2 linked regions of the Oreochromis niloticus genome follow. The protein of the gene in region 1 interacts with the protein of each later gene in a pairwise test. Links are inferred from orthologs where the notes say so. Each region holds a gene or a part of one and is shown in the gene's direction. Other genes may lie near its edges.

Evidence for each region.
Region 2: the proteins of rtn1a (region 1) and ugcg interact in a two-hybrid assay, tested with the Homo sapiens proteins (2 studies listed by BioGRID and IntAct). The link is inferred for Oreochromis niloticus from reciprocal best matches to the Homo sapiens genes RTN1 and UGCG.

What each region holds. Positions count from the first base shown.
Region 1 is NC_031983.2:11,748,720-11,764,595, reverse strand, and holds the start of rtn1a (reticulon-1a), read left to right. Parts: upstream 1-9,839; 5' UTR 9,840-10,094; coding exon 10,095-10,317; intron 10,318-15,876. Other genes in the region: lrrc9 (leucine-rich repeat-containing protein 9), read right to left, coding at 2,247-2,371, 2,479-2,619, 2,698-2,833, 3,175-3,289, 3,367-3,540, 3,648-3,779, 3,912-4,129, 4,225-4,380 and 6 more. UniProt on the Homo sapiens protein: Inhibits amyloid precursor protein processing, probably by blocking BACE1 activity.
Region 2 is NC_031972.2:35,404,945-35,420,744, reverse strand, and holds ugcg (ceramide glucosyltransferase), read left to right. Parts: upstream 1-7,382; 5' UTR 7,383-7,701; coding exon 7,702-7,799; intron 7,800-10,931; coding exon 10,932-11,076; intron 11,077-11,349; coding exon 11,350-11,452; intron 11,453-11,545; coding exon 11,546-11,647; intron 11,648-11,733; coding exon 11,734-11,846; intron 11,847-11,927; coding exon 11,928-12,106; intron 12,107-12,182; coding exon 12,183-12,269; intron 12,270-12,583; coding exon 12,584-12,691; intron 12,692-12,888; coding exon 12,889-12,967; intron 12,968-13,449; coding exon 13,450-13,620; 3' UTR 13,621-15,553; downstream 15,554-15,800. Other genes in the region: molybdopterin synthase catalytic subunit, read left to right, coding at 2,700-2,811, 4,177-4,333, 4,441-4,564, 4,651-4,758. UniProt on the Homo sapiens protein: Participates in the initial step of the glucosylceramide-based glycosphingolipid/GSL synthetic pathway at the cytosolic surface of the Golgi.

The sequences.
Region 1 (15,876 bases):
GCAACCAACACATACAGTGGCTTGCAAAAGTATTCGGCCCCCTTGAACTTTTCCACATTTTGTCACATTACAGCCACAAACATGAATCAATTTTATTGGAATTCCACGTGAAAGACCAATACAAAGTGGTGTACACGTGAGAAGTGGAACAAAAATCATACATGATTCTAAACATTTTTTACAAATAAATAACTGCAAAGTGGGGTGTGCGTAATTATTCAGCCCCCTTTGGTCTGAGTGCAGTCAGTTGCCCATAGACATTGCCTGATGAGTGCTAATGACTAAATAGAGTGCACCTGTGTGTAATCTAATCTCAGTACAAATACAGCTGCTCTGTGATGGCCTCAGAGGTTGTCTAAGAGAATATTGGGAGCAACAACACCATGAAGTCCAAAGAACACACCAGACAGGTCAGGGATAAAGTTATTGAGAAATTCAAAGCAGGCTTAAGCTACAAAAAGATTTCCCAAGCCTTGAACATCCCACGGAGCACTGTTCAAGCCATCATTCAGAAATGGAAGGAGTATGGCACAACTGTAAACCTACCAAGAGAAGGCCGTCCACCTAAACTCACAGGCCGAACAAGGAGAGCGCTGATCAGAAATGCAGCCAAGAGGCCCATGGTGACTCTGGACGAGCTGCAGAGATCTACAGCTCAGGTGGGGGAATCTGTCCATAAGACAACTATTAGTCGTGCACTGCACAAAGTTGGCCTTTATGGAAGAGTGGCAAGAAGAAAGCCATTGTTAACAGAAAACCATAAGAAGTCCCGTTTGCAGTTTGCCACAAGCCATGTGGGGGACACGGCAAACGTGTGGAAGAAGGTGCTCTGGTCAGATGAGACCAAAATGGAACTTTTTGGCCAAAATGCTATGTGTGACGGAAAACTAACACTGCACATCACCCTGAACACACCATCCCCACTGTCAAATATGGTGGTGGCAGCATCATGCTCTGGGGGTCCTTCTCTTCAGCAGGGACAGGGAAGCTGGTCAGAGTTGATGGGAAGATGGATGGAGCCAAATACAGGGCAATCTTGGAAGAAAACCTCTTGGAGTTTGCAAAAGACTTGAGACTGGGGCGGAGGTTCACCTTCCAGCAGGACAACGACCCTAAACATAAAGCCAGGGCAACAATGGAATGGTTTAAAACAAAACATATCCATGTGTTAGAATGGCCCAGTCAAAGTCCAGATCTAAATCCAATCGAGAATCTGTGGCAAGATCTGAAAACTGCTGTTCACAAACGCTGTCCATCTAATCTGACTGAGCTGGAGCTGTTTCGCAAAGAATGGGCAAGGATTTCAGTCTGTAGATGTGCAAAGCTGGTAGAGACATACCCTAAAAGAGTGGCAGCTGTAATTGCAGCAAAAGGTGGTTCTACAAAGTATTGACTCAGGGGGCTGAATAATTACGCACACCCCACTTTTCAGTTATTTATTTGTAAAAAATGTTTGGAATCATGTATGATTTTCGTTCCACTTCTCACGTGTACACCACTTTGTATTGGTCTTTCACGTGGAATTCCAATGAAATTGATTCATATTTGTGGCTGTAATGTGACAAAATGTGGAAAAGTTCCGAATACTTTTGCAAGCCACTGTACTCATCATAAGGCATGCACAGAAACATAACCTGCACAAACAACTGCAATTTCATGTTTCTAAACTCTTGTTTAGTTTCCCACATGAAAACAAACCCATCAAACCAAGGAATGTAGCGCGAAAAGTGCAGCTCAGCTGTCTGATCCCCAACCTCAATAAAAAATGTCCTTCATCTATTTAGAGGCTTCCAACCAATGCAGCTGACTCTTAGAAATAATGATGGCTCATACTTTAGATCTGTCACAGACAGCAGATGAATGACCTGCTCTGTACAGACAAAAGTAAAAACATTACATGTCAATAATTGAAGAACCAAAAGTCAAACTCCAGATCTGCCCTCAGTTTTTCTGAATAGGAACTTTAAGTGCTTGATCTATGGCATCCAATTCACGATGAATGCATTGAAGGTTAGCTGAGGTTCAGTACCTTGCCCACGAGAAACATGGGCATCACCAAATTTGTGATTACTGAATTACCTGCACTTCCTAAACCATAGCCATTGAAACTGAGATTAAGGCATGTTATCGCTTTAAATAATGCAGCAATTTTTCAATATCTAAATATTAAAAGATGAAGAAACACCTCCACAGAGAACAATTGTGTTTCATCTGTAACAGTCAAAGGAATGTACGCGATAATTTACCTGAGTGATGTATTCATAATATATGATGTACTCGGGCAGGACAAGCTCGCGGTCAAACACAAACCACTGCCTTCGGCGGGGACTGGACTCAAGGTCAGCGTGTGTTTTGGTGGAGCCGGGTCGTTCTGAATGAAAAGGACACAGAGATGTAAAAATAATAGGGAGTGCAGAAATGAACAACAACAATTACATAAAAGGCAACTGCTGTTGTTCCTTTTAATTCAGTGAATACCTTCACTCATTGCAGATCTGTGCTTTGTCTCCACACTGCGATACACAGAGTAAACTCCAGGATAATTGCTTCTGTCCACCGGTTCTCCATCTCGGATGGGCATGCTTTTACCCACGAACACTTTGGAAACAATGACCTGACCTACAAGCAAGAGAGCATTAGCAGTTTAGATTCTAAAAAAACAGCAGAAACATAATGAAATCAGTAAAATGACCTCACCGTGCCTGAAGGGCATCGTATCCATGCTGTGTTTAGTACAACCTTGGCTGGTCTGGCGAAGTGCGTACTCAATTCTGGATCGCTCGCTCACACTCAGGCTATTGGAAAAAGGTATAGCACCCTCTTTTCCATTGGCCTAATTTAGAGAGTCATGGTGTAAAAGTGAAAGCGTGAGAATAACACAAGTCAAGCACATTCTTCTGTAACCCTGATGTGGTTACTTCTCCACACAGACACAAATCAGGCACACAAAGTTTCACAATTTCCCTCATTTTAGTATTCACTGCAATCTGCTCCATAAATGAGCGTACTAATTTCTTTTTGCACATATCGTTTACTGCACTGTGTACAAGTGTGCAGGTGTTGAGTGGTAAACTGACTAATGTGTGGCTAATTAGCTTCAATTACTCCCCTAATTGTTAGTGGAATAAATATGTGTGATAGGAGCGAGTGCATCCTTTCTGGTAGTACACACACCTTCTGCTGCTCTGTTGTTTTGAAGCCTTCCTGGAGAATCTGCAAAGTTTCATCCTTCTCGCATTTTTCAGGGTCAACTACGTAGAATAAATACTCCAGCTGACGTCTGTAATTCCTGCTTAGAAAGAATTGTGTTACAGTATGAGGCTTAACATAGTCGTTAAAATCTGCTCATTCTGTTTCGAGCCTTACTGGGAAGATAAATCTTCGCTGGCTAGTAAACTGTGAATCTTGTCCTCGAAGCAAAGTCTCAGTGCACTATTGTGGATGCAGATAACTCTATCCACCCTAATATCAGTGATGCCATATGTTTTGTAGTCTGATGGAGAGAAGCGGGAAAGCAGGAGGTCACAACAAGAAGTAAACCTGTCGGTCGGAGCAAAAAAAACAGAAGGACAGTATGTTTCCCATTTGTTACTGTGAATTGCACAGTGGTTACAGTTACAGTGGATGATACTGAACAGTAAAAGTACCAAGGATCTGTGGAGCAGCCCTCCTCCAAACGGATATTTCCAACACTTTCTAGCTCCATCAGTAGAAACTGCACCGTATACTCCATCCTGTTCGTGGCACGGGCCAAATCATGCTCGTACCAGATGTGAATCCTGAATATAAGATGAGGAACATCAATTTTTCAGATTAAAAGTACAGTTTAGCTCTGTGCTGTCCCCTAAGAGATCAATTTACATAAAGCAATAATACACTGTCTCTGTATCTCATGAAAGATGCAAACTCACTCATCTAGCCTCCTGGTCCACTGTTTGAGTCGTTCCCTCAGTGCTTCAATCTTAGCGTGTACTTTGTGCTCCGTGACTGGATCCTGACTGATGTCACTGATTGATTCATTTCTTTCTGTTAATCCTTCATCCAGGTGGGGTGGCCCTTCTGCTACGCTTTCTGACAGGCAGGCAGGCTTCTTGCAACTAACTGGCCCCACGGAGAGCTCACGTTCGAGCTAGAAATGCATCCAAATTATAATCGTTCTGTGCACACAAACACCTGAAGCTTTTTAGAGCTGCTACAAAAAGACATTTTATGGAGAGTACGTACAAATTTAAGGGCACGAGTGAGAGTCTTGATGCATTCTTCAGGCGACTGCGATAGAGTTTTCTTCCTCTCTATCAGACTGAGCCGGGTCTCTGCTAGTTTCCTCTGAGCTGTGCGTACACGCATATTGTAGTACATCATTTTTTTCATCACTGCAGACTAAAAGAAAAATAAAACAACTCTTATTTCAGGCTAAAACGAAATAACAGATGCATCAAATATAACTGTTAAATAAAACAAAAATATCAAATGTGACAAAGTAAAGAAAGGAAAAAGAAAGAAAAACAAGAAAAGAAAATACATCCACTAAAAAGTATAGCTTGTTTTTATAGAAACCTAGAAGAAATACTATAAGGCAGGGGTGTCAAACATAAGGCACAGGGGCCAGAATCAGCCCACCAAAGACAACCTGGCCCACTGAATGGCTCTGGAAAATGTGAAGGAGGACATAAATTTTACATAAAGTTTTAACTGTATTTTTAAAAGGTTTGCAGCTTTTAATACAGATAAACACCAAATCAAATAAATAATACACAAATAACAGAAAATTACTGTTTTTTACTACTATAGAAATTTGGGTTTTTTAAAAAATATATTATTAATATTTATGTATGTATTCAAAGACAAAGAAGAAAAGACATTCTGTCAATTAACAAAAGAAATTCCATTTTATACCAAACGTTTATTTCAAATTTACTTCTAACAATTTAAGCCCAAAGCAGCATAAAAAACTCAGATGTATCGTTAAAATTGCACCTTTTTTATTGTGCAGCTAAACTTCTTTATGCCGACAGATCGGAAGAGTTTCACTCGTAAGACCCACTTAACATCAAAGTATGCTGAGTTTGACATCGCTGCTTATAAGGGATTTAACCAGTCAATTAGTTCTGCAGATCTTGGATCGTATCAGTACCTCAGCTGCATCCTTGATTTGCTTGCTGGAGACGTCATAGATGTCGAGTCGCTGGAGGCTTGGCACGTGGTAAAGAATGTGGGTCTCATAGTTACAAAGGAGACACACCGGGTTTGGGGTTGACGTGGGGTCTTTCAATGCTAACTCACTCAGACGGGGCAGTCGGGCAAGGTGGCTCAACTCCTGTTACAGCAAAAGATTCAAGACTCAAGGTCAAATTTTAAGGCTCTTATAATGGGCAGGCCTCAGCTTACATCAACAATCCCATTTGTTCACATCCAGCTCCCAGATCTCTCCGATCCTACTGGCAGAGATCTCTTACACATCCCAAGGTCATGCTTCAAACAAAAAGGTGACAGAGCCTTTGCAGCCGCTGCTCCACGTTTGTGAAACAAATTACTGCATGACATAAAAAGACCCCCCCCCATCTCTGCTTTTAAGTCTAGGCTCAAAACCACCTTTATTCTCTGACCTTTCCAGTCCACTAAGCTCCACTCTGCTTGTTGTCGTTATGTGTCTGCACATTTGTTGTTAGCCCTTTAATCTGTACTCTGTCTTCAATTTTTACTTTTTTATTTGATGTTTGTAATTACACGTGGTTGCATGTATATAGGATTAGATCATTTGTACAAAACCTGGTCAATGAAAGCTATGTTTACATGTGATTTCTAAATAAATATTATTTACTTACTAGGACAGCAAAGCTTCTGCATATCCTAAGTACGTTTACCCTAAAGGACACTATTTTTTTGTTCTCAACAGAAACAGAAAATTTAAAGTATTTTAAACAAAGACAATGACACTGCATATATTTTCCCCCCACTATATGATAAATTACATTTCCAGAAGTCACTGGAATATTAGTAATTATAAAGAAACTGTCTTGATCGCTGCATACTGAAATGGATGTTTCAATACATCATCTTGACGATAGCACTTCTATTCTTCTCTACATTCCCTACACTTAAGAAGAGCTAAAAAAAGAGATGTCACGCTGTATTGACATGGTGGCGAGATTTTTTTCTTGATCCTGCAGTTACGGTGGGGTCTTTAGAGTGAATGGTGATAATCGTATTTTTTATAACAAGCCAGGTGCAGAGAAAAAGGTGGAGATCTCAGGCGTTACGTCAATCAGAGAAGGGCACACAAAACTTTTCTGTGTTTCTTGACAAAATGACCTTGAACAACAATGATCAGAGTCTTCTGAATGAGCCTGGCAGGTACACCATCAAATGTATAATATAAAACTGCCAACTTGGAGAAAAAAAAAAGGAAAACCTACGTAGTCTTTTAGGAATGTATATCACTAAACATATAATGGCAGAAATCAAAATTATACTGCCTAATACCTTATTGAAGGTCTTATTGAGACAGCATATTGTTGTAATGATTGAAAATCCGAACAGACCCAGACCCCGACGTTTCACAAGAATTCAGGAATGCCCTTTGTCAAGCCACAGATTTGAATAAGATAATAAGCTGGGTTAGGGCTAAAGGTGGATTGCAGGAGCAAGATCTGAGGTGTTAAACCAATCAGACACAGAGATACAAAACCTTTTGTGCTTCCTGTCAAAATGTCCTTGAAAAAACAATATTCACATGTGCTGTGAAAGCGCGTCTCAGCTGAAGCATGCCTAAAATGTGTAACTAACACAAACCTGCACATTAAAAACAGAAAAACTCTTAGGCAGTCTCCCAAGATATATTATTTAAATAAACGCATTCATGAATGTATATCATTGAATGAGGAATGGCAAAAAAAATTTGAAATTATGCCGCTCAATGCCTCAATAAAGGTCTTGCGTTGCACGCCTGTTGTTGAAATGATTGAAAATGTGAACTAGCCGAGACCCCGGCATTCTCCCAAGAATTTAGAAATGCCCTTTTGTCAGACCAAGGATTTTAATAAGATTTTACAAAATAAGTAAGAAAAGTTTTTAGAGAAAGTATTTCAAAAGCATGTTTTCATTTTGAATCTCACCTTAAAGGAGCTGATCTTGTTTCCAGACAGATTGAGTTTCTGAAGGTTGACATTAGGATCAAGGCTGTGCCCTTAGAAGAAGTTAAAAATTATTTGATTGCCATCGTTATTTTTCACATAGCTCACCGAATCTCCATCAAACTGAACACAAATTATTCTGAGAACATACCGATCTTTTCAATAATGTTGTCAGCAAGGTTTAGTTCTTTAAGGTCTAGAAGTGTGTCCAAGCCCTTTAAGAGAAAAAAACAACAACAACCGCATGTGGAGACTAAGTTAAGCCTTTCTGAAGGTCTTTCAAAGTTTTACTTTGGAAATTGGCTGATTTTTCACTCTTTTTCAGTCCAGTCCTTATACCCGATCATTTTCAAAACAATGTTTGCTTGTTTAGCCACTCATCACTGACCCGTGAGTCGTTCAAGTATTTGAAAAAAGCACCTACCTCATGGGAGGAACCAGTGTTGTCTCTAAGCACTTTTTAAATTGGTTCTTTACAAAAAAAAAAAAGAGAAAACTTGAGAAAACCAGACAAGTGGAGGGGAAAAAGGGAGACCTTAAAAAACTATCTACACCATCTGAAATTGATGGAATTATTAAGGCAGAAATGTACCATCAGGCTTTGAGCCACCATCCAATACCATCTGCAAAGTATCTCATTGGCAACTGCTTCATTTTCCAGCAATGATCCCAAACACAGTACCATTGCAGTAAAGGTCTACCTACCCTACCCTAAGATGGTCATATCAAATATTGACTTTCACACTTTTCAGAATTGTACAAACTCTGTTTTTGACATATATTATCATATGTTTGCATGTTTCAATAAATTGCTGCACCTGCTGTATTTCCCATTTTCCTAGCAAAATATAAAGAAATGAGTGGAGGCTCACAACTTTTGCACAGTGTGTGTAAAAGAGCAGTTTTCTTCTGCTGAATATTTAAAAATCTTGCATTACAAACACAGAAAAGCCAAGGAGATACAGCTCTAACCTTAATCTTAGTTATGCAGTTGTTATTGATCCACAGCACCTCTAGGTGGACCTGCAAGTCCAGATTCTTTATTTCACTGATTTTGTTCTCATAAAGGTACAGTTTCTCCAGCTGCAGGCAGTTCTGTAGTCCAGATATTTCCTGCAATAAAGAGAAAATAGATTGTTTGATGCATGTGTCACAAAACACACATGCTTAAATGTGCACGTGACACCTGTTCATGTCAGTGATCATATAGTGCATATTTCTTCCACGGTTTTCAGACTTTTTGAGACAAAAAATCAGTGTATCCATGCACCTCCTCCTTTTTCACTCCAGCTCCTTCATAGTTATCACCCTGCCTGCAGGAACATCTGCATGTGTGTCTTTGTCAGCTGGGGATAATTATGCTTAACACACACACGATTCAATGGTGGTGTGAACTAATATTTCATATTTTATAGGTGAAAAAGACCCATTACTGAAGAATCTTCAGTTGCATCCACATGGCCAAATTTCTATACGACAGCAATGATTCAAGCTATCATCAGTTGTTGTTATCAGCATTTATCAGCATAGCAAACACACCGTCAGATGGCACTGGACTATCCAGAGCTCCTGAAGCAGAGGACAGCACTCAAGTCCATCAATGTGCTCTATGTTCTGGCCTATTATGGTAAGTTGACACAGCCTTGGGAAGAAGGAGAGGCCAACCATGCGGGGGAAACCAGAGAAGAACATCTCCAGTGATGTGATGCTGCTTCCCTCTTGTGCAATTTTTTCATAGGGCACTCCATTAGCCATGCACTGTTAATTAAAAACAATAAAGAAATAAGTAAATATGAGAAACCCCCATTGACTTTTTATACGTATTCAAAACTGAATATTTATGTGACTGTTACCAGTTTTTTGATCACTTCCTCTTCACTGCGGTTCTTTTGCTTCTCATTCGACAACATATCGCTGCAGTGAATTAAAAATATGTTGCTGAAAATACCCTGCTTTATTTTTACTGAGAGAAAACGAACGGACAAATTAAAGTAGAGAGTTAGTACAGGTAAACCTACCTGTAATAAGTGAGGTCAGCAAGTAAGAGCACGAAAAGTCACCACACATCAGTGCTAGCTGTGCTAGCTTCTAACGTTGTGCTTGTAAATATTATCCGTGTAAGTACGACAGAGGACCTTTTAAATATCGGGCGGCTAAATTTAGTGTACATCTAAATCAAAATTACTTTCCATGGAGAACTGAACAGCAGCAAACCTCGCTGATTGCTTTAGCCAGTGTTAGCCATCAGTCTGTATCCATCAGTCTGTATCCAGGCAAGAGCGTCTGGTTGCTAAGACAAACTGAAACTTTTTGAGGTCCTGTTCATATTAGAAGCGGCCGCATGAGGGCGCCATATGGCAAGGTACATTTTTTTAACCATCAAACCATAAAATTCACACAAGTATTTCTCCATTTAAAACATTACCATGGGATACATGAGGAATTTTTGCCACTTTTGAAAAAAAAAGACCCACATATTCTTTTCGCGTTATTAAGACACTATCTTTATTATTCTCCTCTTTAGGCCATGTGTCCAGTTTTAATAAGCTAACTGTCGCTATTTTCACAAACCAACGCCAAGCACTGCTTTGACTGAATCCTCTGACCTCATTTATACCCCGAAAACACCTTTTTGATCTTTGACTGTGTCCCAAATAAAGTGGTGCCAGCCGTAAGGGCTCGCGGACACCATGACGTCAGCGTCGGAGCAGTGAACTAAAACAATCAACCTCACTCCTTCTCCTTCTCCTCTCGCTCCCGACCGCACCGCCTCATCTGTGGCGTCCACAAACCCCGGTCTCAGCTGACAGACGCCAACCAGGAGCCGCACTGTTGTTGTTGTTGTTGTTGCGCGGTTTTCTCCGTCACACATCCTAGCGCAAACGATTACGGCAGGGAGAGAAGCGGCAGCAGCTTTGTGTAGCTAGTATAATATCATCTGTCCGACGACAGGAAAAAGGCATGTCTGCGCAGCCCGGTGAGGAGCTAGGCTCGGAGGGGAAGTGGTTTGGGGATGACTATGAGAGGAACGGCCTGTTTGGGAACACACAGAGCCGCTTCGGCGAGCTGCGCGAAGAATTGAAGCCGAGAGGCGGCGACGCGTTGGGCGACCTGGATCAACAATTTCATCCTTTCCAGGACGACGGGAAAAGGCCTCCCGTTGCTATGGAAACTGCATCTACAGGTAAAGCTTGCACTTATTGCCCTTAAATGCTGAAATATGTGACAGTTTATAATCAGTCTAGCCACGTTACGTGTCTTCTTTTTCAGAAGGTAACAGGACGATGTTACGGTGTGAATAAATACAGTGTGAGGGACGCGGGCGAGAGCATTTATCAGAGATTTAGCGTTACGACAGACGGCTTGTCTGTAAGCCTGGGATAAAACTTCCGAGCTCGAAAACAAAAACAAAGCCGAGAGGAAGCAACTTCAGTGATGCCGTAGGGGGAAAAATGGCAGACATATTTCCAAACTAAACTCGGCAACAGCCCTTTATAGTTATGAAACGTCATATAGCTCATGACCGAGTGGTTTTCCGCTCAGGAGACAAGAATCTGCTGGGATGAAGGCATTACCAAATAGCCTGTTGAACTCTGAATGGCCTGTTCACTCCCATAACTACTGTATCATCTCGCACATGTGGGCTTGGTCTACAACTATATTAGAAATATTTGCTTGTTGAGAAGGTGAGGCTACAGATTACAGGCCTAAAGCCCCCTTATCTTACAAAGCCAGTGTCTGGATAGAAAGAGAACAGCTTAATCCTTAAGCATAAGATTTCATTAGTCCAGTAACAAAACTACAAAACTAAAAATACAAAAAAGAATGGATAACAGAGAGGACACGTTTTTAATATAGATGAATAAACATGAAAGAACCTAATATAATATAATATAATATAATATAATATAATATAATAATAATAACTCACAAACTAGATGAGTTTGGAAAGGTTTTGGGAACTTTAGGGAGGTTGTTGTCTGTCTTTTATATTTATGCATATTAAAAAAACACACACACAAAGAGAGAGGGGTTACATGATGCATCCCAGTTTTTGTGTGCACCTCCGTGGACAGTGTCAGTGATGTCATCACATTGCTGGATGCTGGACTTTGTGATAAGATAACGCTGGTTCTGGGTCCGTCATCATTCTCCTCAGCACTGCTCAGCTCATGCTGCTATTTTTAATCCTTAACAGGGTTCACTGTTCGCTTGGCGAGCAAAACTAGAGCCCTGCACTTTTATTCACCAATCCACTGAAAAATTCATGAGCTTGTGCTTTAAAAAAAGAAGGAAAAAAAAGAGCTGCCCAGTTTTTCTTCCTTGCTGCTCAGGTTTTTCACATTTCACTTGCTGCTGCTTCTGCAGCAGCTGCTCCAAAACAGAAAAGAAAACATGTAACCACTGGTAAATCCTTTAAGGACAACAGCATAGCTGAATGCTTAAATTGGACTTTAATCCTTTGATGCACGGAGTTGTCCATGACAGTATTCAAATCTGAATTGTGCAGTTGGAAAACCGTTTGGAAAATTGACATAAAACACACAGAAACACTGCTGAAGCGTTTAAAGCAAGTCGGTGTGACATTTTAAACTGGCTTGTCAGCGTTTGGCCTTGTGTTCTAGAAGAAGTAAACAGAGCACTTGCTCTACTTTTTGGTATTCTGTGCCAGACAGGCTCAAACATGGGTAGGTGCATGCAGACAAACACACACACACTTTATTTTGGTTCCTAAGAGGAAAAGAATAGCTTTGTGCTGTTCCTTGGACTCCCATTGAGCTGTATCCATACCAGTGAAGTAATCCACTTTGTCACTTATGTTCTTGGTGGGAACAGTGCAGATCTCATCACATCTAGCAGGGCAGAGAGGACGTTTCAGTCTTATGTAGTCATGTTATTGTCCAGTCTGATCTTTGTCAAAGACATTCACTCCTAAAAGTCCACTCATGCTTTTCTTTTTCTCTTCTCTGCGTTGCTGAAAATATAGTTTTGAGGTTGGAATTTTTTGGCTTTGAGCATAATGAGACGGGAAGCTGTATCTTTCTCCGGATAATCAATCCATGCCTGTTCTAAATCATGTTCACAGCTCTGATGTACCCACAGACCCCGATAATGCTGATTTCAGCCGTATTAAATCACCACAGGGCAGAACCTTATCCTCGGATCGGATAACCTCTTTGATCTAAAAGTTTCCCATCCTATAAAATTTTCAAGAGTCACGAGAAAAGGAAGTAGCGGAAGGAGCTCTGACCAGGTCTGATGTGCTGCAAGAACACCACAGTCGGGTTTAGGTTGTTCTTTAGCAGATGGTGTTTCTGATAGCTTGGGCCCGATTTCTGCCAGTGAAGAAAAAAACTGAGCACATAAGATACACAAACAGTGACGCTGCCTTTACTTTTTCATAACTCCTCCTGGTGCATCATTTTATCACAACCTGAAATAGCACATCGGTCATAAGAAACTTTCTACTCCAATCCAGTGGCTGATAGGTGGATTAGACTCACGTTTTTCTCCTTTTAGCATAGATCAGTGACAAGGATGAGACAGCATATGTCTGGCTGGGACTTTTCCATATCTTTGAGATAGAAAAAGCACTTAGTGGACTGCATAAGCCAGCACAGTGCTTTTAGCCGTGAGAGCTGTTCCCAAGGGGAGGGGGTAAGCAGTACAAGGTCTTTTCAGAGCAGATGATAAAGATGCAAGATAAAATAAGAAAGAAGGGGGCTTAATGGTTAGAGAGGTGAGGCTGTGATGACAAGGCTGGTGTTTCAAAAGGCCGGCGTGATGGGAAAAAGTAAAAATATGATAGACGACACTTTCCTTTAAGGTTAACTTTAATTTGGTATCTGCTGTGAGTCTTTCTGCTGTTGCATGAGCCTTACATATCTTAATAATAGTTCATCTGTCCATCTTTTCTTCAGCAATCTCAATAACTCAGTCAAACTTGATGGATGCAATGCTGAAGACCCGAGCAAGTGCATTGATGAACCTGAGGTTCCGTGCATAATTGCCCATATTATATTCTGGCTGCAAGTTGCTGTCTATTACCCATGCTTCCCGTATATTGACTGCTGACTACTCCATTCTGTGTGTAGGAGGAGTGGCATCCACAATCGCCACGTTCTCCACGACAATGTTTATATTCAATTAATGCATCCTTATGCCAGTCCTCTTTTCACAACCATAATTTTCAGCTTGTCTGTGTGTGACACATTTAGCAGACACCTGTAAATTGTAGCTTTAAAGAATTAACCTGGGTTACAGTCCTTCTGAGTTGGCACTAGTTTTAATAATGTGTAATCTGGATTTACAGTCTCCTGGACCTGTTACCTAATGCTGAGGCATATAAGGACAAATAAAGGTGTGGTAGACCAAACTCAAGAAGCTCTTTTGCAGAGGGACCATATAAAAGCATTAGTGCACTCATTATATCAATAAGTCATCATTTCTAATGCCTTTAGATCCCATGTGTTCACCCGGAAGACAATTCAAAGCCAACATGTGAAACATGATGCCATGTATCTGATCTTACCAGCTCTCTAGCGCTGAGCAGAGAGTCCTGAGTAATCCCTGGGCGTAGTGCGAAAGTGCTCTCGGGATTAGAATTACTATCAACAAAGGCACTCACAACGAGCATTGACCATTAGTTTTTTTGTGTGCGTGGGCGTGTAAATTATAGTAGCCTTTGTCAGCTTGCCTTCCTACCTGCATCCGCACTTTTAAAAGCGAATTGCCGTTTCAAAGTCACCCTAAATTGACCCAAAGAGAGCGGTGTGCAGACGCTCGGTCTGGATCCTCCCACATTCTCTCTATTCATCCATAAAGCTTCATCCAAGCAGGAAAGCTAGAATCAATACACTGGAAGACAAGCACTGTACAACAGCTACTGTCTAAATGGGGATAGATTTTATTTAAACTGCCTCTAAATGGATTTATTTTTGACAGAGGCTGCTGGAACAATAACAATTGTCCTGGTGGCCTTAAGTGATTTTTTTTTAAAGAGTGGTGGATTCACCAAACATTTCTTAGAGTAATTGTATGCCCTCGTCATTTCGGATCAATGCAGCAGAGCACTTGAATCCATCTGCCCAGCTGCTCTCCTATCGACCTCAGCTCTCAGTATAGGCCGTTTGTGTGCTCCCCTTTTTTTCTCTTTCTTTAGCATCATTAAAAAGTGGTACTCAGTGATTGGTATTCATCTGTTTGTACAGCTAAGGATATTGTAAAACATACATTATGAACTTAAATGTAATAGCCAGAGCTTTTAGAGCCAAAGACCATTACAACTTTAACTGGGCTTTCATTTAAACACTGACATACAAAAGACTCAATTTAGAAATCTATTATTATACCAGCTACCAGGAAATCATAGTGAACCATAGAGTTATAATTTCAATCATCCACATCAATCACAAAAGGCAAATACTTAACTTTCTTCATAAAATACCACCAGTTAGTTAAATAAATTTACATGCACATGTCTTTGAATATAATCCATGTTTAGCATTTTTTGTGTGTGCAGTTTTTGTCTTTCCGGTAAAGAAAGGACAACTTGTAGGAAGTTCAAGCCCCAAATGCACAGATGGGTTTGAAAGAAGAGCATAGTAATAGAGCCGTTTCCACAAGGTCATACGGTGAAAGAGAACACCTGAAAAATAACACCATTGCTCAGAGGGTCATGGGTGGAGTAATGGATTCGTAACAGAGCTGTGAAGTCAGAGATGCCTAAAGGAGAAGCTGAAATACACATATGTCCATAAGTTTTTGAAGAACTGCACTTTTGGGGGGGTTGGGATTTTGCCTCCGTACACAACACTTGAACTCAAACAATAAAGATTTTTTTAAGTGTAGACTGTCAGCTTTAATTCAAAAGTATTGCCTTAACTGACGTTTGATACACAGTCCCCAATATTTAGAAGTTCAAAATGAATGGAAACTTTTTAACTATAAAGATTGTTATTGATACTTGGATAATAATCTTTTTCAGTAAATGACTGGCTGATGTCTAGAACCCATGCACATCACCACATGTTGTGTTTCCTCCCTTGATAAGCTTGTCTCTCTGCCTTAAGTTTGGTCTTCAGTAACTAAAAAACATTCTGTTGGGTTGAGATGAGGTGACTTGGCCATTGAAGAATATCTCATTTCTCTGCTCTGAGAAACTCTGGGTTGCTTTTTCAGTATGCTTTGGGTATTTATCCATCTGAACTGTGAAGAGCTGTCAGATCAGTTTTGCAGCATTAGGCTGAATTTGAGCAGAGAGCACAGCCCTGCACACTTCATAATTCATCCTACTGCCTCTTATCAGCAGTCACGTCATCAATAAACATTAGTGACCCGGTTACACTGGCAGCCATACATGCCCATACCATAACATTATCCCCACCATGACAGATGGTATGCTTCAGATTATGGGCTGTCTCTCAGTTTTTCCATACTATTCTGCTCCGATTATTATGGTAGAAGTTAACCTTGGTTCCATCTGAAAACAAATTCTCTCTTTTTTAGGTGTTTTCTTGCAAACTCCAGTCTGGCCTTCTTCTTCTTGAGTATAACCAGTTTTCATCTTGTTGTATACGATTTGTATTTACATTCATTTGCATCCACATCTCTTTGGACCTCATATTGAGAGTTCCAGTGATACCAAATGCAAGTTCCTGCTTAATTTGACAATTGTAATTCCTAAACAGTTAATCCAGTACTTTAGTTAAAGCACTTGAATTACAGGTGAAAACCCATCTCC
Region 2 (15,800 bases), on another chromosome or scaffold:
TACACTTTTAAATCCTACTACTTATTCCTGCGTCTTTTGTGATCTTACAAAGCTTCAAACGACGCGTCGACTATTAAATCAGTCGTCGACGATTTTGATAGTCGACGTAATCGTGACTAGTCGACTAATCGTGGCAGCTCTAATGTCCTGAATGCCTCTGTGTTCTGTCCTCCCTGCTGCTGCTGAACACACAACAATGTAGAAGTGAATACAGTAGAATGAGTCATGTTCAGACATCCGAGCTGCACTGAATAAATAAACACGTCTGTAACAGTTTCGGTAAACGTCAAAGGCCTAATGTGATTTTTAACTTTAATTTTCAGGCTCATTTATAATTGAAGCTAATTTTAAAAGAAATAAAGAAAATGTTCCTTCAGGATCAGCGCCTTTAAAGGGTGGATTGGATAAAGGGACTTTACTATTATTATTACACTATTATTTAAAAAAGTGTCAGCACTCAGTTTCAAGATTACATGAGAGTCAGTCCTTTATTATTACTAAACCTGATCTCTGGGCCACCTTTATAAGATACACAGCATATTTAAGGATAAACAAGCTACTTTAAACCAGTATACATAATTACAAAGATGTATACAAAGTACACCTCAGAAATGTAGCCACAGGTGTAAAGCTCACGGTGAGGGTAGAAAATTCCCAACACGTTTCCATTTGTTTTGCAGTTTTTGAGTTTGTCATGCTTTAAGATGAGCTGCACAGGCTGGAGAACGATCTCTTCAGAGAGGCATGACGGGTATTTCCCCGAGTCTGGGCTACACAGGCTCGGCCACTCTGGCCTCCTCAGTCATGCTGGTTACCACGAATTCAACTGAGCTTGAAGTCTGTGGGTGTTTAACTTTTTCATGACCAAACTGTATGAATTAATTTGATTTACAGTTGAAGGGTATCAGTAGAAATCAGCTGAAGGCCACATTGACTTTATTGGATGAGCCTTGACCCCTGTTTATCTTTTTATGATGCTTCTTTAGAGAAACTCTCAGAATTTGTAATAAATCTGGGGAATTAATGAGTTAAGAGGGTATTTAAGGGGGGAAAAAAAGACAAGTCTTAAAAAATATATATTTAGTATTTGGAGGATAAAGTATGTAATTAATTCAGAATGACAGTTTTTGGTTAAAAACAAACATTTACTAAAATGATTTTTAAAAAAGCCAAAAAACCTGCAAAAAGTCAGAATTTTATGGTTAAAAACTGAGTTTGATGTAAATATCTTCCACCATCATTCATTATCAGCCGTCATGATGAGGAGGAGGAGGACGAAGTCTTCATCGTGTCCCCAAACACAAACAGGAAGCAGTTTTAGTTTTCCTGTGTTAGCAGAAACGTACATGGTGGTGATTGGGAAAATTATCAGGAATGCTTTGATCCTAAAGCTTTTTGATGTTTTCTATCCAATAAACACATGAACAGATTTCCCAGACGTTTGACATGTGCAGTGTTGTGAGTTCCTGTTCATGGTTTCCTGGGACATGTAGCTTCAGCATTACACCACAGTATCGTAAAGAAAGTCTTCTGTTTGAGCTGGAAAATTCAATTTTCAGCTTCATGTGATTGAAAAACATCTTTTAATGAAGTTCCTGTTTTATTATGAAGCACATTTTTGACACAAAATCTGTGAGCTTCAGATAAATAAAAAAACAAAACAAACTCCACACAGGAAACAGGAAGTTTGAATCCCTGAGAAAGACTCAGGACTCGCTGTTTAATGTGAAATGCTCTGATGGATTCATAGTTTTTCTCCTTCAGGTGTGCGTGTTGTACTTCGCTAAAAGCGTCGAGCTGACGGGTGTGAAGGAAGAGAAGACTGTTGCCGTGCCAACACCAATCAGCAGCCACGACCTTTGGAAGCTGTTGGTACAGCGGCACCCAAGGTAAGAGGGGCGGGCGGGGGGGCACACATAAACACGCGTGTGAAGACGAGTCAGCATCTAACACGTTTGTGTGTCCAGACTGTGTACGCTGCAGGACGGTGTTGTGTTGGCAGTGCGTCAGGAGTACGTTCCCATCGGCGACCAGGTGCTGACTCTGGGAGACGGAGACGAAGTCGCCGTAGTGCCGCCACTCAGCGGGGGCTAGAGACTCGAGACTGTAAGTAATTACTGATCAGAGATTAAGAAAAAGGTCCATTTCAGGTATTTGCTCCTTCTTCACTTCCTGTTTCACTGCACAATTTAAAAATAAAAGTATATTTTCCTGTTGTGACTTTAAATCCAATAAATTCACGATAAAGAGTTGACAAAAGTTGCCACCGTGCCAGGGCAGCACGATAGTTAGCACTGTTGCCGCACAGCAAGAAGGTCCTGAGTTCAATTCCACCAACAGGCCGGGGTCTTTCTGTGTGGAGTTTGCATGTTCTCCCCGTGATTGCATGGGCTCTCTCCAGGTACTCTGGCTTCCTCCCACAGTCCGCAGACATGCAGTTAGTGGGGATAGGTTAATGGATCAATCCAAATTCCCTTACATAGGTGTGAATGCAGGCGTGAATGTGAGTGCAAATGGTTGTCTGTCTCTGTGTCTGTGTCTCTATTAGCCCTGCGACAGGATGTACCCCGCCTCTCGCCCTATGACAGCTGGGATAGGCTTCAGCGCCCCCCGCGACCCTGAAAAGGATAAGCAGAAGCAAATGGATGGATGGAGTCGACAAAAGTTTAATCTAAACTGCATTTTTTTTTTTCCCAAAGATGTCGAAGGGGCCGAGAGATGTCTTCAAGCTGAGCCATGATTGGCTCTCTGTGCAGGAAGTGGTCGATGCTGTCAGCAGCCCTTCCTGTGGAGCCATTTCAGTGTTTATAGGTTTGTTCCCATTTACTTTATTGTGGGGTGTTTACTTTACAATATAAAGCATCTTTGATTTGGCGTTATATAAATAAAATGTAACAGCATTATTGAGTTAGTATCACATTTGTTTTATGGTGATTATTTGGTTTGATTTTTATTTGTGTACAAATGATGGATCACTGAATATTCTGAGGAAGAAGTTCTATTTCAGTGAAATGGAATCATTTTTAGAATTGAAAAAGTCAAAATGAAATATGACTCTAACTGAAAACATGAAAAATGTACTTATTTTTAAAATATTTATTTAGTTAAATTATTTTCAATTTGAATTGTTCGATCTTTGTACAAATACTCTAGAAATAAATAGCAATATATCACATTTCTAAACTTTTTTTTAGGTTTTTTAAATATTTTAGAGGAAAATAAGTCAGAAGCATTTGATGAAGAGGAAAGTGAGATATTTAATATAGATTGTTGATGTAAAGTGTCAAATGCTGCAGAGGAAAAGAAAATCTGGGATTTTGACCAAATATTTAAAATTTTACTTCTTAGAATTACTTCTAATTATTATCTTCTCAGTTTTCCTTCAAATATTTTACATCTGTGTACAGGCATTTTAGAAAAATAAAAGCTGACTTTTTATTTATTGTTCCAATACAGCATTTTAACATTTCAGGGAAAATTGTGTGAAATGTCAGTATTTAAGAAAGAAGAAAAAGTTAAAAAAAATAAACATTTGATGACAAAGCTGGAGTTTTATTATTTTAAGAAGCTCTTCTAGTTATTTTATTTAAAGAAAATCAAAGAAAGTATGTTTTATACTATTATTTTTCTAAAGTAATACATTACAGGGTAGTGCTTTACAATAACTGAAGTATTTGTTGCAAAACCCAGATAAAAATACTTTACTTAAAAATAACATCTTGTTGCTATGTCATTTTAAATCGGTTGTGTGATTTGGACACGGTGAGTCCGTCGACCCCGGTGGGTTAAAATACTCAGCTTTTATTTCTGAAACACAACAGACAGATTTACTGTTCAGTCTTAATATTTTCTACAATTATTGTCCAAAAGTATTATTATTGTTTTGTAATTAAAGTACAAAAAATCATATAGAGGTTTGTTAAAGCACCTGATCAACAACCAGTATCAGTAACAGCAATGAGTAGTCCTTTTGACATCTAGCTGCTCCTCACTGTGCATCAGACTACAAAGAGCTGTTTAGTGGTTCAGGACCAGGTGTCGGTGAGGGGGAAGGCATGAGTCCTCACATGGCTGGCTATACAAACTTTTGTTTTTGTTTGTGTGTGTGTGTGTGTGTGTGTGTGTGTGCGTGTGTGTGTGTGTGTGCGCGCGCGTGCGTACTATGCGTGTGCACAGGTACAACTCGCGAGGATGAGGCAGACAGCAGGAAGGTGGTTGGACTGGAGTACGAGGCATATGAGCCCATGGCCCAATCAGAGTTCAACAAGCTGTGTGCTGACATCAGAGCACGCTGGCAAAGCGTGACACACATCTGCGTCCACCACAGGCTCGGGTGAGGGCGCTAACATGCTAACTGTGGCAGGTTCGGGGGGGGCATGCAGGTGTTACATTTGTTTTTTAACTTAAATAAAAAACATGACACATAGCTTCCCCCATCAGGTGGGTAAAGGTGGGCGACGCCAGTGTTGTCATGGCGATCTCATCCCCTCACCGCCATGACGGCCAGCAGGCGATCCAGCACTGCATCAGCCAGTTGAAGGCTAATGTCCCCATTTGGAAAAAGGTGAGACGTCAGAGCCAGTCTTATCAGCTCGATCGATGCAGCATTCAATGATTATTGATTATTGATTGTGTGCTTGTGATCAACAGGAAGTTTATGACACGCAGGAGGCGAACTGGAAGGAGAACGCTGAGTGTTCATGGTCCACTCAGAAGAAACCTCCAGAAAACACATTGTCTGAGGGAAAACCTGAATAAAAAAAATGTGATAAAACACAGATACTTGTGGTGGGTGGAGCCATAATTATGTGTTTAGATCATTTGGAGTTTAACTCTTAATTCTCTTCATTTAAAACACAATATTTAAAAAAAAAACTAATTATCATGTAATGCTTAAAACATGTTTTAAATTTATATTTTTGTGTTGACTGAGTCTGATGGTCACGTTAATTTTTTGGTGCTAAGATACTAAATGCTAGATACTAAATGTACGAATGCTGTAAAATCTTCCAAAATGAACTAAAACCATCATCAGAATGTGAAGAAAAAACTGCTGTAAAACTTTGTGTCCAAAACATCTGTGTGTTATTTTGAAGAGCTATCAACTTGAAGGTAAAGCGTGTCTGTGCTGTCATTTGATGTGATACCAATTTATACCACAAGGTGGAGCAGTGATTAAGGTTAAATCTGTGTAACCTTGAGTAAACCAGGTAAGTCATGAGATTATATTTGTATCTACAGTGGAAGGCTGGGAAAGGTAAATGTTGGGGAGATGGAGGATCCGAAGCTGTAATAAAGGTTAAATAAATAAATAAGAGCAGTGCACACACCTGCTGAAGAAATGCTGCCCTCTGGTGGTAACATTTTAATCTGAACTTTGCAGTTAAGATGAAACTGAGAAACATCATCTTCCTCTGGATGAAGACAAGCACCCAGGTTTAAAGATTTCTCCGTCCACGTGAGGAGGTTCAGTCCGGTGTGCTGGTGTTCCAGCAGGAAGCAGGGCGTCTGGTTCACGCACAAAATATGAACCAAAAATTCCTGCAAGTGCTCAACGTGAACTAGAAAGAGGACAAAAGGCTGAAAATCTGATAAGATCTGAACTGCTGTGCTTCGAGGTGAAGATTTGTTCCTGTCAGTTTACTGATTAATCTGAAGATGTTTCCTGTCCTCGTTATCGGGCGTCAAACAGACGCGATGCAGACTTCGTAAAAAAACATTTTACAAATACTCACATGTGTGACGTAAATGATTGGACTTATCGTAGATTAATTGGTTTCTCAAACAAAAGGGATAAAAATGCCCTGATATCAGTCGTCACCTCTGAAACCAGGAGATCATAAAGACAGCAGAAGGTCTGAATGTTTGACTCAGCAAAGAAAATATTAACTGTCGGGAGTTTAGAATAATCATTCATGTCCCTGCAGGCACTCCTGTAGTGAGATATGATCATGATCGGCTACAGAGGCGGAGTGTATCTGTATGTGAATCATGTTTGGGATTGTGTCAAACAATCAAATCTCCAGTGAAACCAACAACGTCATCCAAGAAGCTTAAGAAATCTAGAGCACGCGCGGTCACCAGAGATAAAAACAAAAGGACATGAAGTAAAGCGTGTAACACTGAACCAGATAATAAATCTGCACAACAGCTGTAGCTCACACTCTGGCATTCAGCACACCAGCTGCAGTTTACCAAAGTGGAACAAAGTTTATGAGATTTATAAGTACAGGAAAAACTCATTTAAACCTCTGTCAGAATCATGGTAAGAGTTTGAGTTCCAAGGAAGAAAAAAGCTCTTAAGATGTTATTTTTGGACAGAATATTACATTTGTATATCCAGTTACTATGTCCCAATTCAGTTTATTATTCAGGGTTAATCTGTCTTCTGGAAGGGTAACCATGTCACTGTGTTGTATTCCAGATTATGTTAAACTGATGCTTGTTCTTTCTTACGTGAGTAAAGATGTTTGCTCCACAACAAAATGCAGGAAATGTAAATTATGGAGTAAAATTTCAGCAGAATGCAGGAGATAACATTTCTGTGTCTTTAAATTTTCATGTTTCCTCAAACGAAACCTGATCTCTACCCTTCAGTGAATCACTCTTTCCTTCACTGGCTGTGTGTGAAAAGTAGTAGACATTCAAGTTACCTGCTCAGGTGATCAAACTTAACAGCCTCTGAACCTGTTGAGTCACCCGATGAAGGTGAAACTAGACTTCTTTTTTTTGTAAAGAAAAGGTTTCCACAGGTCATCACCTCTCATTTCACCCATTGCTAAATGTCTCAGGAAAATGAAGCAAGCATTGGGTTGCTGTGACTGACCTGATCAGGTAATGCATGCCTGTTTCTCACAAGAGCCCGAGAAGCCTTTACATTGATCATTAAGTGATCCTTCACCTTTTATCTAACCTTTTTTAATATGTTCAGAGGATCACATGGCCCATATGAATGATGTATTAACAAATTAGATGTTTCTGAAGCAAACGGTGGAAAATATTTGGATTTAGTTATTTCTTTTTAGTTATAAAAGAGATAAATTAAACAGAAAAAATATAAAAACCATTATAATAAATACTTAAAATTAGTAAAACACCATAAACAAACTTTAGTTACCCCTAAAGGGAATTTCCCGAGTTCCGCAACTCAAAACAGGAAACACAACCAGGAACAAAAAATTAACTAGATCAACTTTTCAGTAGATGTTACTACAAATAAAAGCGCTCAAGGAAGTAGAAAAGTTAGGTTAAATTTTATTTAACCTAACCTAACCAACAACAACGAATAAAAACTAATGCTTTTTATGTTTTTAAGTGAACAGCTTTATTTTACTTATTTATTTTGAAGTTTTCCCGGAAGCCTGGTAACAGATTTTATCCCCCAACCCTCCGCTATTCCGGTCAGCTGACCAAGAGTCGGTCTGCTGACTGTCAAACCCTGCGAATCTGCACCGATACTTGTAGGCAACCGTCACCGGACCGAGCCCTGCTTTGGCCATGTTATCGGAGCTTCTTTCTCGGGCAGCCACCTGACACCCTCCGCTGTGATCCAGAAGTGCAACTGTTGGCCTAAACACGCCAAAGTCGCGGCTATCTCAGTCGGATTCTCCCTGTCTTCCGTGACCGGTCAGCTGGTCGTCTCCATCCCGAGCCCGTGTGACTCCAGCCGGCCCACCTCCTAAGCAGCCTCCGCTGACAGCCATGGCCCTGCTGGACCTCGCCATGCAGGGCCTCGCCGTGTTCGGCTTCATTCTGTTCTTCGTGCTGTGGCTCATGCACTTGATGTCCATCATCTATGTGTGAGTGCACCGCGGAGCGATGCTAAACGTGGCTAACGGCTAGCCTCGGCACAGCTCCTTCCTTTATTTCTGTCTGTCCCAGCGTGATTATGTGTGAATGGGGTTAAACTCAGAAATAAGGCGCTGCCTCCTGCTCCTGGGGACGGGTTTGTGGATGTATGACAGGAGGTGAATGTGCAGCCTGGACGGTTAGCTCGGGCGTTTTCCTGGTTACCGCTAGCCGGGTAATGTTAGCTCGGACGGGATATTCCGGTTACTGCGGTCCTTTCAGGTTGTAGTAAACTAAATCACGTAATTAATTATAGTTTTATAAACCGTGAATCGATAGCAAGGAACCTGAAGTAACCGTATTTCCTCGTAGAGAATATTTTAAATGGCGGTAATTGTTCAGCTGACGTTTCTGTAGCTTATTACGCACCTAATTTCGTGCTTCCTCTTAATGCAGAATCTCACTTAATAAGAATAGGATTTTAGTATTTTCACTCAGCAGGCGCGTTTCCCTCACATTATGAAGTATATGTTTAGTGTTTTATTTAAGTGTTATGAGCCTTTCTTTAATTCGGCTGTAATCCGCTTTATCTTTTACTTTTTAATTCCATGATTTTCTAGGGTTTTGATTATGTTTATACTTCTGTACACGGAGCATGACTAAATCAGTTAACTTTTAGCAAGGGGAGAAGATAAGCATTGTAGATGGATGGAAAGCCATACCTTTGTGCCAGCATCATAAGGGTAGCTGAAAATGAGCATGTGCTTTGGTGTTGTGGAATTTGTGGAGCTTATCTTTACAGCTTAAAAAATGTTTTAATGATTTAAACTTAAAATTTAGATTTAAACCCATTTAGACTTGGCAGACTGAATTAATGCTGCAGGTCTTAAAGGAAGCACCTGACCTGGCAAAAATATATATATCTATATCTATATATATATATATATATATATATATATATATATATATATATATATATATATATATATATATACATACACACATATATATATATGTGTGTATATATATATATATATATATATATGTATATGTATATATATATATATATATATATATACACACATATATGTATATGTATATGTATATGTATGTACATCTGTACCACAGACTTCTGGGTGTGAGCTGTTTGTAAGGGTGGTGCCTTGTAACTCCGTCCTGATGGTAGAGGATATATTCACCATGAGGAGGGTGTGAGACATCGCTGAGGATGTCACACCTTTTTCCAGCACTTGGAACTCCCTGAGTTGCATCATACCATGTTGCTCCTAACCTGCAGTGTTTACAGACCTATTAAGGTCTGTACAAAACACACACTGTACTTCTGTCCACCTTCAACCGTCTCCACATCAAGTACAAACCTTGTAATCCTTCTCTGTAAAGGATTCAAAGCCGTCCCGTTCGTTCTAAAAGCAAAAATCATTTCTTCTGTGTTCAACTGGAGAAAACACAGAGTAACACACTCTGTTTCATCTCCTCTCATCAAACCACCAATCGCTGTACCTTCAGTAAATTAAAGACATCAGATGAGTTAATGTACTGCATTCACAGAGTAATGAATGGAGATGTACTGCAGTACACCCTGGAGGGCCCTTGTGGTAGTGGCAATAGATGATACTGCAGCTTTCACTCTAACATACAGTGATCTGCCAGCTTCTTTCACTCCTACTGCTGCTTTTCTAATAGTAATCTTCTTAAAAGTCTTTAAAACTTCCTCTGCTTTTACAGTTACCAGGGTCAAGCTGTTCCCCAATATCAACTCTGGTCTGTGTGAAATTTGTTTGTTTATTTGTCTAATTTCCTCTTTCTGAGGAGAAAGAAGCGAGCTGCCTTTTGTTCCCCTGCAGACAGTTTTTTTTGTGCTTCCTCGCTGCTACTTTCACTTCTCCAGCTACCCATAGTTTATCTTTTAAAAATCTTAATTTTGTTTCAAAGCTTTTCCTTATCAGGACTTGTAGACCCTATGAAGATGTCCCATGCTGTAACTTTCTCTCAGACAGTGCACTGTCATTATTCATATCTCACTGATTGAAGCTCAGGTTTGCTGCTGTTTGTAGAGAAGTGTTCTGAACCCCGTAGTGTCTCGTTTATATTGCTAAAATATAAATCCAGGCTCCTCTTCTTTCTGATAGGATGTTCTGAAGTTCCTCAGGAGAGATTTCAGGGTATTGGAAAGAACATTTGGTAACCTACCCACCTTACTGTATCTTATCTCTGCTGCAGCCCGAGTATTTGCTCTCTGATGAATATAAATAAGCTATAAAAAAGTTTCCAATCTCCATAGATGGGTCTAAAGGACAAGGACAGAACATCGGTATCCTCACAGCAGTATGATAGTGTGTAGCTGTTGCAGTGTCTGTCATTAACAGAAATACAGACACCTCCACCTGCTTTTTTCTCCAGCACCTGTCGATCCATTCTTACAGGATCGCCGACCGCTGTGATGTGAAGGGAGGAACTCTTTGTGTCCTTTATGAAGTACATTTATTTATTTACATTTTGTAAATGTGTGTTTTTGGTTCAGTTAGTTCCCAGTTTTTGTTTCTTTGAATGTCTGGTTCTTGTTTTTATTTCGGTAACTAAAATCTCTTAACAGGCTTAGTTTGAGCTCACTAGGAAAACCTCAGTCTGGATATCATGTTTGTACTTCCAGTTAAAAGGCCATCATTGTCCTCCCTGGACCAGAACACTTTGCATTAATTTTAATAGTTAAAATAAGCTGCTGGAGCAGGTCTGATACAGGAAACTATACTGGCTCCTTTCCAGTACAACAATAAAGTTAAATAGAACCTGGAGCTATAAATCTTCACCTTGCCTTTGGCCAAACTGATTTCCTAATAATAAAATAAAACACTGAAATAAATCAAAGGTCACACGTTGGACAAAACACAATCTGTATGAATGAATTAATCTTTTTTTTTTTTTTTTTTTTTAACCCGATGAGACATCACAGTCAGGACATACTAACAGGAACTTTTTCAACCAGGTGCTGCAGATTTACATTCCTGATAAACCCAGAGACTCAAAATAGATTTAAAATTTAATGTTTTTGTTTGTTTGTTTTTTCAAATGTTTCTTTGATATTTTTTTTTTTTACCTGCTGACCTTTGACCTCTTTCTTTCAGACGTCTTCACCTCCACAAGAAAAGGCCAGAAGTCAAACAGCCGTTCATGCAGCTGGCTGGAGTTTCTCTGCTGAAGCCACTAAAAGGAGTTGACCCGAACCTGATCTCCAACCTAGAGACATTCTTTACTCTGGATTACCCAAAGGTGAAGCTAAATGCTCCCAACCCAGATAATTACCCCTTAGTACTCCCCCAACTAACCTATAATGACTGCCTGACTACCAAGAATCCTACTGTCCCACCCTACATTCCCAATTACCATCCCACTCTCCTGGACTACAATCCCCGTCCTTCCACAGACTGACCTTCCATTGCCTCAGTCTACCCTGTAACATTCACCAGCCTTTGAGCTCCAATAATAAACATCTGTCCTCTGTTGTACCGCTCCTTGGACTAACTGATACATCTGGTTTTACAGTTTGAAATCCTGCTGTGCATTCAGGATCAAGATGATCCAGCTGTTGATGTCTGCAAAAAGTTGTTGGGAAAATACCCGAATGTAGACGCTCGATTATTCATTGGTGAGAAAAAATTACTTTAAATTATGCTTGTTGTCTTACATGTTTTTCATCTGTCAGTGGCTAACGTTAGCATGTGATGTCTCTGGTTCTCAGGGGGGAAGAAAGTTGGAATTAACCCCAAGATCAACAACCTGATGCCGGGCTATGAAGGAGCCAAATATGGCCTGGTCTGGATCTGCGACAGTGGCATCAGAGGTCAGTTCTTCACCACTGATGTGATGGCTATCATTGTTTTAATTGTTGGTTCTAAAGCTAACTCCCTTTGTGTTTGTGTGTTGCAGTGAAACCCGACACCCTGACAGATATGACCAATCAGATGACAGAGAAGGTGGGACTGGTACATGGGTTGCCGTACGTTGCCGACCGCCAAGGTTTCGCTGCCACACTGGAACAGGTAAAGTCACACTAATATAATGGGAATTCTTTTCTTTAGTTGTCTTGATCCTAACAAATGCTAACACTAACCTGTTTCCAGGTGTACTTTGGGACATCTCACCCCCGCTCATACATCTCGGCTAATGTGACAGGGATAAAGTGCGTGACGGGGATGTCATGTCTGATGAGGAAGGATGTTTTGGATCAGGCCGGCGGCTTGGTCTCCTTTGCCCAGTACATTGCTGAGGATTACTTCATGGCTAAAGCTATCGCTGACAGGTTAGCACATTAGCATTAGCACCCTGTTGATATTGCTGTCAGAGCATCGCTTCACAGTTACCCTTTCTCTCTGCAGAGGCTGGAAATTCTCAATGGCGACACAGGTGGCGCTGCAGAATTCTGGGTCTTACTCCATTGGCCAGTTCCAGTCCCGCATGATCAGGTGACCTCAGTGCTCATTACTGATTGACTAATGATGTTTTTCCCTCCATTTCACCCAGTTTTTTGGTCCATGACATGCAGCAAGAATTTTTTTTTTATTCACATTTATTGTGTTCTTTATTTTCTTCACTAATTCTGAAAACTAAAAACAGTTATTTGCATTTAGTTTTTATTAGTTATTAGCAGCATTATTAGGGGCGTGGCCTTTTGACTAACGGATGGCTGTAGCAGTTGAAGCCCGACTCATAATTCTGAATCGCCTCTTTGATCTGAATCCTCAAAGCAGCTGATATTAATCAAGGTTTATGTCTGCAGGTGGACGAAGCTGAGGATCAACATGCTTCCCGGCACCGTGCTTGAGCCTGTTTCCGAATGCTTCCTCGCCAGTCTCATCATCGGCTGGGCCGCTCATTACGTGTTCAGGTACATATTCGACCACACAGGGATGAGGTCATCGGTTGGCTGGGCGTTTTTGTTCTTTGGCCTCAATCACCAAACAACAAGTTAAAGATTTATCATCTGGACATCATCCAGAGAAACTATATTGATCTGTGTGTGTGTGTGTGTGTGTGTGTGTGTGTGTGTGTGTGTGTGTGTGTGTGTGTGTGTGCACGCTTTAGATGGGACATGATGGTGTTCTTCATGTGTCACTGTCTCGCCTGGTTTATATCTGACTACATCCAGCTGACCGGAGTGCAGGTAATATCACATACTTCCAATTTAAAAGGACTTTTTTTTTTTTTTTTTTTCAACAATAATTACTTTTTCATTTTTAAGAATTCAGAAACAGAAATATGAAGCTTTCAATTACAGATGTTTTTTCAGTTTGATTTAAGAATAATATGAAAAATATTAATGTTCTGTTAATTTTCTGCCTGTATTTAAATAGAAAAGATGACAGTTTAGTAAGTAAGATTAATTAAATTAAAAAAAAAACATAAGCCCATTAAAAAATTTAAAAAATTAAAAACTGGAACACAAGGATTAAAATATATGAAGGTTCAGTTCAATAAATAATCATAAAAACATTTAATTGAATTTAAAAGCTGGGTTTTTTTTGTTTTTTTTAAATGGAAAACAATGCAAACGAATTTAAGAAAATTAATACATTTCAATGAAATTGAAAAATAAGGAGAATTTTAAAAAATGTGCCTGATTATTGGTTGATGACATCACCACAGGGCGGCCCTCTGTGCTTCTCGAAGCTCGACTTTGCAGTCGCCTGGTTTATCAGGGAGTCGATGGCGGTGCAGATCTTCCTGTCGGCTCTGTGGGACCCAACCATCAGCTGGAGGACTGGACGCTACCGACTGCGCTGCGGAGGCACTGCTGAGGAGATCCTCGACGTCTAGTTACCTCGGTGATGGGCCACATTTGCCCCCACCTCCACCCTCACCTCCTCATTACAGCGAGGAGAGGAAGAGACTGATGTTTTGTTTTGGATTTTTTTTTTCTTTTTTATGAGGAAAAACTGAAGAGTGTGTGTGTGTGTGTGTGTGTGTGTGTGTGCGTGCGTGCACATAAGTGTGCGTGTGTGTGTGCGTGTTTTAACTATTTATCTTTCTTTTGGTGCTAAAAGCTAAAAGACGCCAGAACAAGCCAATGAGAGAGCAGGAAGCAAGGAAATATGTGAGCAACACATGCACTGAATCATCTGGTCTTTGATCAGAGCAGGTAAACAGGAAGACCGTGAGCCAATCAGGACAGAGGACTACACAATACTCCAACCTGATTGGCTGATATTATTTTGCATGGAAGGTGATGACGGGCATAAAATAGGCGTGAATGTGAACAGACGTTTTACTCTGAAAGTCCCCTGTGCTGTCAGACCATCATAATTTCTTAACATCTTAATTTGAGACTGCAGTATGTGTCTCAAATGTGATATTCATCACATTGACACATCACAAGAACAAAAGTCAGATTTCATTGTTTTTCTATTGCAAAGCCTTCTCTTCTTCAGCGGTTTTTGGAAAGCCAGGGCTGGAGGACTGCACAGTTTTCAGAGTAAAATATCTATCTTCTGATTATCACGACTTTTATCCAATTCCATTAATTGGAAGTAAACGAAAAAAAAATCTTCAGATAAAAGAGGAAAATCTTGCATGGGTGGTTCTGACTGGACGAGCTGAAGCCGTCCAGTTCTGGTTCTGGAGTCACAGAGAGACTTAAGCTGAAACTAATCTTCAGTTCCAGAATCATCTTTATGTGAAAAGTGAATTATATTCAGTTTCTGAGCCTTGTAAGTCACTACAGGAAAGCAGCCGCTTGGTTTTTGCTTCTGTCCATAAAATCTGTGCAGCTTTAGGATAAACAAAAAAAATGCAAACATGAGCAGCTGAAGGACTTCAGGTAGCTGATTGTCGTTTAGAAAAAAAAAATATAGGCAATGAACAAGTGAAGACGTTTTTCTCAATTCCGTCATTAATTTATTTTAAAAAAAAATCCATGTAATGAAATGAAATCGTCAGAATGTCGTTATTTTGTCATTGTGAAGGTGCAAAGGTACAGCAACGTGACAAATTATTGTCACAAAGTCAACAAGTTCAATCATCAGTTAAGTTGCAAAACTCGTAAACGGTAAAATACTATTTAGTCCGATGTGAGATGCACATCATTATTAAAAATTAAAACAAATTAAATATTTCTTTGACATTTCATTTTTAATTGTGTAAAAAAACACAAGTGAGCATAAAATTGATATGTTCTAAATTTTAAACTGAAAAACTTAGAAAACTCCAAAAGGGTTTGTTTTCTGCTTGAGTAAAAACTAGAAACAAAAAGAAACAACAGGAAAAGAGTTGTCTAAATCAAAAAACTAAATTATCTAATAAGACAAAAATGGAGCTCAAATGTCTTTTCCTGCCCTGATTTAATCTCTGACCCTGGAAAACACTTGGGAGTCGAGCACTGAATGAATTCCAGTATTTTTGTAACTAACGGTCGTAGCATTTCAAAAATTTCTCTAAAGAAAAGGACCAAAAACCGACATTTCTGAAGTTATCAGTCTGAACACTGTGTGAGTGAGTGAGTGTGAGAGAGAGACAGAAAAAAGTGTTTCTTAAAGCTCAATGTTAGCGTTTAGCTGTTACCGTTGTCACTTGAGGTTTGGTTGATGACATCACTCTGTCGGATGAACCCTCGTGGCCAGTCAGATGAATCTTGTTTGTTAATTGTTGTTGTTGTTGTTTATTTTTTCTAAAGACTTAGCTAATGTGGAACCGACCAATCACAGTTCATAACTGTGTCACGATAGGAACAATAAAGTTTTATCTCAACCTGAAATCTGTGTATAAGTGTTTTGTGACTGGCTGAGGTGATGGAGTGGGCGGAGTCTTTGGCAGTCAGATGATTTTATTTAATTATTCAGTGATTCATGCTACAACTTCCTGTCAAACTTTCAGAATAAATAAAAATTAACAAACTTTGTTTTGGAGCAGATTGCGGCTTAGCTTAGCGCTGCTGCCTCCCATCATGCACTGGTCCATGTTAAAAATATTTCATATAATAACAATAAAGTCCCACCAGCTCC